2 linked regions of the Sus scrofa genome follow. The protein of the gene in region 1 binds, or shares a complex with, the protein of each later gene. Links are inferred from orthologs where the notes say so. Each region holds a gene or a part of one and is shown on either strand. Other genes may lie near its edges.

The links. The genes of interacting proteins can lie anywhere in the genome.
Region 2: TREX1 (region 1) and NME1 share a complex: the UniProt entries of both Homo sapiens proteins name them as parts of the SET complex. The link is inferred for Sus scrofa from reciprocal best matches to the Homo sapiens genes TREX1 and NME1.

Annotation. Positions count from the first base shown.
Region 1 is NC_010455.5:31,176,215-31,180,511, reverse strand, and holds the start of TREX1 (three-prime repair exonuclease 1), read right to left. Parts: upstream 2,828-4,297; intron 2,621-2,827; coding exon of another isoform or gene 2,368-2,620; 5' UTR 1,959-2,367; coding exon of another isoform or gene 1,891-1,958; 5' UTR 903-1,890; coding exon 1-902. Other genes in the region: ATRIP (ATR-interacting protein), read right to left, coding at 1,891-1,958, 2,368-2,620, 2,828-2,908, 3,362-3,453, 3,615-3,751. UniProt on the Homo sapiens protein: Major cellular 3'-to-5' DNA exonuclease which digests single-stranded DNA (ssDNA) and double-stranded DNA (dsDNA) with mismatched 3' termini. Prevents cell-intrinsic initiation of autoimmunity.
Region 2 is NC_010454.4:27,415,123-27,419,282, reverse strand, and holds the start of NME1 (nucleoside diphosphate kinase A), read right to left. Parts: upstream 2,847-4,160; 5' UTR 2,754-2,846; intron 1-2,753. UniProt on the Homo sapiens protein: Major role in the synthesis of nucleoside triphosphates other than ATP. The ATP gamma phosphate is transferred to the NDP beta phosphate via a ping-pong mechanism, using a phosphorylated active-site intermediate.

The sequences.
Region 1 (4,297 bases):
ACTGCCAAGGTCAGGAAGGCCAGCAGGCCCAGTGGGGCCAGCAGTCCCTCCCTGGGTGGGGTTCCAGGGCTCTTCATTGGAGAAAGGGGCTTGGGGCTTCTGTCCCCACCAAGGTTGGGGCTGGTGTTCCTGGCTTTGGCCAGGAGTACAGTGGCCTTGGCAGCAGATGGCCTTGGGTTGGTTCCAGTAGAGGCTGTGACCACGTACATCGGCTTGACGGTGCTGAAAGGCCTGGCATGAACATCTACCCACCGTAGCAAGGCCCGTGGCCTCCACTGACAGATGCTGAGCAGGGCTAGGACATCACCCTCAGCCGTGTGTGAGTCTGGTGGAGCCTGGCCATACAGGCGTGTATAGATGCTGCCCAGACTGTAGCTCTTCCTTGGGCCGTGCTCCGAGGAGCCGTCAGCTTGCTCCAGGGCCTTCAAGGCTGCAATACTATCCACACAGAAGGTGTCATCCAAAGCACTGGCAAGGCCCAGCATGGCCAGCTCTGCCTGGAGCAGGGGGAAGTCGTAGCGGTCACCGTTGTGTGCCACGAGGCACGAGGGCTGTGGCTGGCGCTGCAGGAAGGCTCGGAGGAGATTGGCCAGGTTGGCATCGAAGTACTGACGCCCATGTGCAGCCAGTACAGCTGTGCTCAGGCCAGTGATCTCGCTGGCTGCAGGGCTGCAGGCCTTCCCTGGAGCCACGCACAGGGAGAGCTTGTCCAGCACCCGAGGTGGCGGTGGCACCGTGGGAGAAGGCCCCTGTGGGATGGGAAGGCTCTCCAGGGCACATCTATGGACAGCTAGCAGGCATAGCTCCGTGACCTTGGGCTGGGAGAAGGGCAGGCCAGTGGCCTCCAGGTCCAAGAAGATGAGGGTCTGCACGGGAGCCTGGGGCAGGGCCTGCGAGCCCATGGTAGGTATCTGGCGCTGAGCCTGGGGAGGAGCATGGGGTGGGGGTGGGGAGGGTGAGTGCCCAGTGATAAGAGGAAAGGAGGGTAGGGGGTGGGTGGGCAGGAAGCCAGAGAAGGTGCGGTGGCTTCCTTTGTGGGATCAGCATACTCAGCTATCTGATCAGGGGAAGGTTTGGCTCCTCCCCTAGAACCCACTTAGCCTGGTGTGTGTGGGGGAGCAGGTACCCACAGCCCTCCCACCCTACCCCATCCCCTTGGGGGTCCTCACCGAACAGCAGGCAGGCAGCAATGACTCAGGGTGAATGCTCTCTGGCTGGTTCTTGCTGCTGGCAGCAGTGGCGGGAAGTGAAACTGGGCCTGAGCCCGCCCAGGAGCTGGTGTGAGCAAAGCCCGCCCCTGCTCGTCAGCCTGCTGGGCTGTCCCTCTTGCCAACACCCGTTCCCTCCCCAGGCACCCACAGTACTGCCTCAAAGGCCTTCTCAGATCTCTGTCTGGCACAGTGCACCAGGACCCCTGGACAGCAGGGGACAGGGCTATCCGGGAAGGCGAGCTCCAGGACTCAAGCCTGCCGGGAGCCCCTGCCATGGCGTTTGTACCCACCCCTTGGCCCCACTTTCCCAGGCCTCCCTGGTTTAGGCCTGGGCTGAAGGGCTGCCTCCTTCTCTGCCACACAATGGTTTCTAACCATGGCCTCAGCCCAATGCGATGACTCAGGGCAATTCCACAGGCAGGGCAGAGCAGGGCTGCTTCCTCAGAGCAGATTCATCACCAAGGGGCTGGATCTCAGCTCCCTCCAGGGACAGTAAGAAGGATCCCAGTTTCCTTGGATCCCGCTCCTACTCTGTCCCTCCCAATCAGCTGACACACATCAGACTCAGGAAACAAAGGCTGGTATGTTCTCAAACAGCCAGTCACTGCTTTTAATCAGTGGATGAGGTAAGGAAATGAGTGGCGCTGGTGCCACCATGTGGCTCGATGTTCACCCGGCCTCAGCCACAGTCCATCTCAGGGTCGTCCACATCGGGCTCTGTGGCGCAGAGGTCATCCAGGGCTGCCTCTGAGCCAAAAGAGAAGAAGGTTCTGTGGCCAAGGCCTAAAGGCGCTGGGACTGCAGCAAGTCCACCTCTCCTCCCACACCCAGGCCCACAGGAACTAACCAGTCCCTTCCATGCCCAGGCCTTGCTCCCTCAGCTACTGCAAGCAAAGTGATACAAAGGCAATTCAGACAGGGATGTTTCTGGAAAAACCGTGGTTCTGCCAGGCTGATTCAACAGATAGGAGCAAAAGGCAGGCTGATAATACTCAGAGAAGAACCGGAGCAGGAAGACAAGAATGGCCCCAGTGCTGGCAAAGGCCGTGAGCACGGAGGGCTGCTGACCTAAGGTGGGGAGGGCTGACCTGCCCATAGACTCCAGGGCAAACCCCAAACGTGGGCTGGGCAGGGAGGGGCCGTCTTGCCGGCTCACCTTCACAGTCTGTCACGTCAGGAAGCCCTCGAATCAGCAAGCTGACCCCTGGCATCACCTGGTCGTACTGATGCAGGACCTCCACGCAGTGCACAGTGAAGAGCTTGTCCTTCTGGGACAGGCTGTGCAGCAGCAGCACTGTGTCCCGCAGACACCGCACTGTCCGCTTCTGCTGGTCAGTCCTCGGGAGCGCCCCCGCCCTCTGCACCGTCAGCCACTGTCTGTGCAGCATCACGGTGAGTGCTCTGACCACCTGGGACAGGGGCAGGCTGAGGTCAGGCCTTCTGGTCGCTGTGCCCTAACAACCTGCTCAGCTGGGCAGCCCCTTTCCTTGCCCCCCAGGTGAGGAAGGTTCTGAGCGGTGCTCTAATCCTGGGGAAGAGCACAGATCCTTGCGCGGGGCCCCCTCACCCACCAACAGAGCCAACCGCTGTTGCCCCTGCTTGTCCCTGGCACTCACCTCCACGTTGCACTGACAGCTGGAGCCGGTAACTGGGGAAGAGGGGCTCTGGACACCAAGCTTAGCCAGGAGCCACACGGCCTAGAACAGGAAGAGATTCTGTTCCATCCATGGCAGAACAGGACCTTGGTCAGTGAGAGCTTTCTCAAGCTTCTCTAAGAGCTCCGGTTGTCTCAGCAACTGCTCCTCTGCACTAAGGATCCTAGAGGTGGTAGTATTGTGAGGCCTTCCCAGGAGAGGCTTGCCAACACCTGTGTCTCACCAGTGACCCACCTCGTTCCAGGCTACCTCCAGCCACCAGGCCCCCAAACCAGGGGAGCATCAGTTATCAGGCAACCCTGCTAAGTCCCAGGATCCCCAGAAGTCCGCCTGTACTGGATCTGTGTTGTATGGAGCTCCCCAAGTGAGTTTACCTTGTTAGTGGCTGAACTCATTACCAAAATGAATTAAAGCTCCCTTTGTTCCCAGAAGGAGGAAAAGTGGCTCTGGAGTGGGGTGGTGAGCAGGCCACAGAAGGGGCTCTAGTAGTTTTACCTCTTGTTCCAGCTGAAGCCACTGTGTCTCCGAGGCTGCTTTGTCAGGCCTTGACGTGATGTACATGTACAGGAGGAGGAGGAGGCAGCCTTCTGGAAAGGATGTCCCACCTGTCATTCAGGGTTCCCCTCCCTACCCAGCACCTGGGTACAAGCTGCAGAAGCCCTCAGGAGGCCCCTGACCTGTCCCTGCCACCACCCTTCACTGCAACTTGCAGGAGCAGCCTAGACGTACACCCCAGGCCTACTTTTACCTGAGTGGGAACAGAGCTGAGGGGCGAGCTTCTCATGGTCCGCCAGGAGGGACAGGAGCTCAACAGTCAGTAGCACACCAGGCAGGGGTGTCTCTGGGCGCAGGCACTGGGGCAGCACCCGGAACACGCACTGGAACCTGAAACGGGCCCAGAGAGATGTGACACCTCCGACCCACTCCCATAACTCACCCTCACTTTTTACTGGAGGTTAACAGGAACTTCCAAGAGGCCAGTGCAAAGAGAAAACTTGATTCAGAAAGATCTGGGTTCAAATGGCAGCCTACTTGCGGATACTCATTTTATGTGACCAAGTGGGTACCACCCTCCACTGCAGGACTGCTGTGGCTTGGAGATGACAGGTCCTTAGCTGACAGTGCTGTCCAGCATTTGTATTTCAGGATGCCTCCTTGGACCTGGGGTGCCTGGCCTCCATATTGCTCCTGGGAGGCTCTGCTCCCAAATAGGAGGCAGGTCTTAACTTGGGTGTGAGAGAAATGTCCTGGGATACCACCAAAGAATGAGCCAGGCTTCAGCAGTGATGGAGCCTTGGCTATGGCTGGATCTTATGAGGCTAGCCAACCCACCGCCTGGGAATGCAGCCCCACCCATTAGTAGACAGGCTGCCTAAAGACTTTCTGAGGAGTTCCCACTGTGGTGCAATGGGGTTGGTGGTGTCTCTCCAG
Region 2 (4,160 bases), on another chromosome or scaffold:
CAGTGGGTTAAGGATCCAGTGTTGCCGTGAGCTGTGATGTAGGTTGCAGACTCGCCTCAGATCCCGTGTTGCTGTGGCTCTGGCGTAGGCCGGCAGCTACAGCTCCAATTCGACCCCTAACCTGGGAACCTCCATATGCCGCGGGAGCAGCCCTAGAAAAGGGCAAAAAGACAATAAATAAATAAATAAATAAAGTACTAAAAAGTAAAACCACCCTGGCCAGGTGGACTGAAGTACTGTCCCAGACTTTGATACATTTGAATGATGAACCAGTAGAACTTGTGGCCTTTTATGCCAGACGAGAGACCCCTGCCAAGATACCCAATGTCTTGGGAAACAGCTCTCTCTGTGGATCAATGGACTGTGCTGCTGAGAACACTAAGCCCCACCCCTGGGTGAGGGGGAATTACTCAGTTTCCACTGGGAGGCTGCAGCCCTGCCACAAGCTGGCCTGTTGAGATGTGCTATACCTGGAAGGGAACATGCACCTCTGAAGAGGGGAGAAGGAAGGGGTCCTGGTCTGGCATATCCCACGCCTACTCCATCTCCTCATGCCAGACAGGGCTGCCTGCCCTGGCCAACATGTATAGCATACATAACTAGGTCAAGTTCCTAGAGCTGCCAACCTCCCTCTCCTCCAGGCCAGATGGGCACATTCGGTTTCCCACTGGAACAATCATTTAGCCACCATTTTTGTCCCCTCCTTTGGCCTGACGGGCATTATAGCACAGAGAGAAGCCCTTACTAAATTCACCCAGCAAGCCTTAAATACTAGCCTGCAAAACCTGTCTTTATGGAACACTTTATCTTTAATGGCAAAAGCTGTCCTCCAAAGCAGGACATTATTACTGCCTGACAAAGGGATTTAGTAAATCAATGGTTCAGATGATGAGGCTCCTGGAGGAGAAAATTGTTATTATTTAGGGAATCGTCTTAATCCATGCGTCTCTTACACATGCCTCTATAATGCTGCTCTGACATCTGCCTCCACTGCAATCAGATGGCTGCCAAATGAGCCGCCTCCACCCTTTGCTGATCTCTCAGGGCACAATGCATCTGGGGAGTGGGGATGAGATTGTGAGAGCTAGTTGCAAGGGGTGGAGTATTGGAGGAGGTCATGGAGAGAATACGTCCCCAGGCAACTAGAGGCTCCTCACCTCTGTTTTTGAAAGGTACACTCTGCCTACTGTCCCCATAGTAGGGGCTGTTCGAAGGACAAAACATAGCCTTGAGAGAGTAAAGTGTTGTTGAGACCATCTGGACTGAATAGATGACTAAACCCATTTAAAGACTCTATGCATAACTTTTAAAATTCTGGTAGGTGACAGCAGCCACCTCAAGCTCCCTTGGTCATTATAACTGCCACCTATAATCTGGAGTGGTCTGCCTTTCTTCAGTCTCTCCTTGCCTTTGTGTGCAGAAGCCAGTTTTTTGTTTTTGTTTTTATTTTTAGGGCTGTACCCACCCTTCTAGCATACAGAAAGGCTAGAGGTAGAATCAGAGTGCAGCTGCAGGCCTACACCACAGCCACAGCCACACCAGATCCACGCTGCATCTGTGACCTACGCTGCAGCTTGTGGCAATGTGTATCCTTAACCCACTGAGTGAGGCCAGGGATCGAACCTGCATCCTTACAGACACTAGTCGGCTTCTTAAGCCACTGAGCCACAATGGGGACTAACATAAGCATCTACTGGGTACCCAATACTATGGCAGAACTGAGACAAGAAGTATTAAGAGAAAAAGAAAAGAATATCTTTCTGGATTATCCAGATGAGGGAAACTACAGTGATAATATGTGAGTGATGTCTAAAACAAGGCAGTATGAAATACAGTTTGACCTACTACCTCAGCATGCTATAACAGGAAGGAGTTTAGAGATTATTTCATTACAATCTTTTCTTTTACAAATGAGGAAACACATCTGGAGTACCAGAAGGAGGGTCACAATCCAGATTTCCCAACCCTCTGCAGCTTATGCTACATCACAAGATTAATGAATATTCTGACTAACCAATAAATGGTGGATTGTGGGAGAACTGTAGCCATGAGTAATATCTGTTGGAAGAAAGCCTAGAGACCACCTACTTCAGACTCTTCCTTTTACAGATAAGAAGTCTCAACTCAGGACCTGCTCTGCCTCCACAAGATGACAAAGGAGTCCCCTCACCTTGAAAGACAATCCCTATGTGGATAGCAGCACCACCTCCTGGCTCTACCTTCCTATAATTTAGTTGGCCTTTTATTACAACACCTTAACAATATATGTGAATTTTCTGTTTATTTCTCACAGGCCTGCCCCTGAATACAGAGATGATTTACTTCCCTAGTACCTAGTTACAGAGCCTAGTACTCAATAAGAGCAAAGAAAATGTCTTAAATGATAACCGCCCTGCACCTCCAAGAAAAAGAGACAAGGCCCAAGAACTGGCGGAGAACTCCTAATAGAAGCTACAGACAAGCATGAATTCCCTAGGAGAACATGGGGCTAAAGAGCCACAAACAGCAGTCCCTATACGTGTTCCCCACACCCACTCTTGATACATATCTGTCATTCATTCAGTAAGCACTGAGCACTGCACTCGATATAAACAAATAAGGCACAACCCTTACAGTCACGGACTGATGGGAAAAGCAGCCACGGACAAAGCCGAGTCCACGTGGCGCGGGACGTGAGCTGACAGGTTTGCACCTGTCAATGGGTGCGTCCCTCCCACCCGATCCCCCTGGCCACTTCTCCGAGTGGAACTTACCCGACCTCTTCACCTCCCCCTCCCTGGACCCCACTCTTCTCCCTTTTCTCTCAGGACCTCGAACCCTTCTCACCCCTCCGGGCACTTGGGCTTCAACTCCGTCGCCTGTCACCCGCACCGGAAACACGCCCCAGCTCCTCGTGGTTCCTAGCACCCGCTCGCGCGGAACGCTTCTGCGCATAATCGGCTGCAGGAGAGCCCATTTTGCAGAACACCACTCGCCTACGCTTCCTCCCGACAGTCGGATATCGTTCAAGGGAGCAACTTCCTGAAGTTCAACTTCCGGTACGGCTTCTCCCTATTCTTCTCGCACGCTGCAGCCATCTTTTTTTTCCCTTTAAGATCTGTGACTCACTTCCTTCTTTCGCGAGCAAACTGGCTTCCCGAGAGGTGGCGCTCACACTTTGCGTGAAAACTGAACTAGCGCCTGACCTAGAAGTAGTCAGTGTCCTCGTTTTACATTTGCTCATTCTTTCCAGCCTGTCAAGCAAATTATTTATTGAGTACCTTCTATGTGTCAGATATTGTTTCAGAGTCTGGGGTATAGCAGTAAACTTTCTTGGAACTTCTCGTGGGGTTGGGAATAAAGACAAACAATAAACAAATGAGCAAATTAACATGTAATATATCATAGTATGTAAATATTACTGAGAAAAAGCACAGCGAGGGGGTAGGGTAAAGGAGTACTTTAAATGTTGACTGGTGTGCTCTCTCAGGGGGTGACAGTAGAATAGACCTGCTGAAGTCAGATTACCTGAGAGCCAGTGGACATTAAGTGCTAGAAAATGCAACTGGAGAGCAGCAAGATTATGATGTGGTGGGAAGCCATTGGAGAATTTTGAGCAGGGCATGATATCATCTGATACATTTAAAAAAAAAAATCATTGCCTGCTGCAGGAGGAATGGCTGTGGTAAAGTACAGGATAGAATCAGGAGCCTTTTCAAAAAATGTGCTGGAGCACCTATAGGCAGAAAGAAAGTAAGAAGAAAGGAAGGAAGGAAAGAAAAAACCTCCACCTAAACCTCCCACTTTGAAAGAAAATCACTCCAGAGGGATTATAGATTTGTAAGTGTAAAACTATGTGGATAGGAGTTCCCTTGTAGCACAGCAGGTTAAGGATACAGCATTGTCACTGCAGCAGATTGGGTAGCTGCGGTGGCATGGATTTGATCCCGAGCTCAGAGAACTTCCACATGCCCCGGGTGCAACCCAAAAACCCCCAAAACAAAACAGGTGGCGGCTCAGAGAATTACAAACCTAACTAGTATCCATGAGGATATGGGTTCAATCCCTATCCTGGCTCAGTGGGTTAAGGATCCAGCATTGCCGTGAACTGTGGTGTAGGTGACAGACACAGCTCAGATCTGGCTTGGCCTTGGCTGTGGCTGTGACTGTGGTGTAGGCCA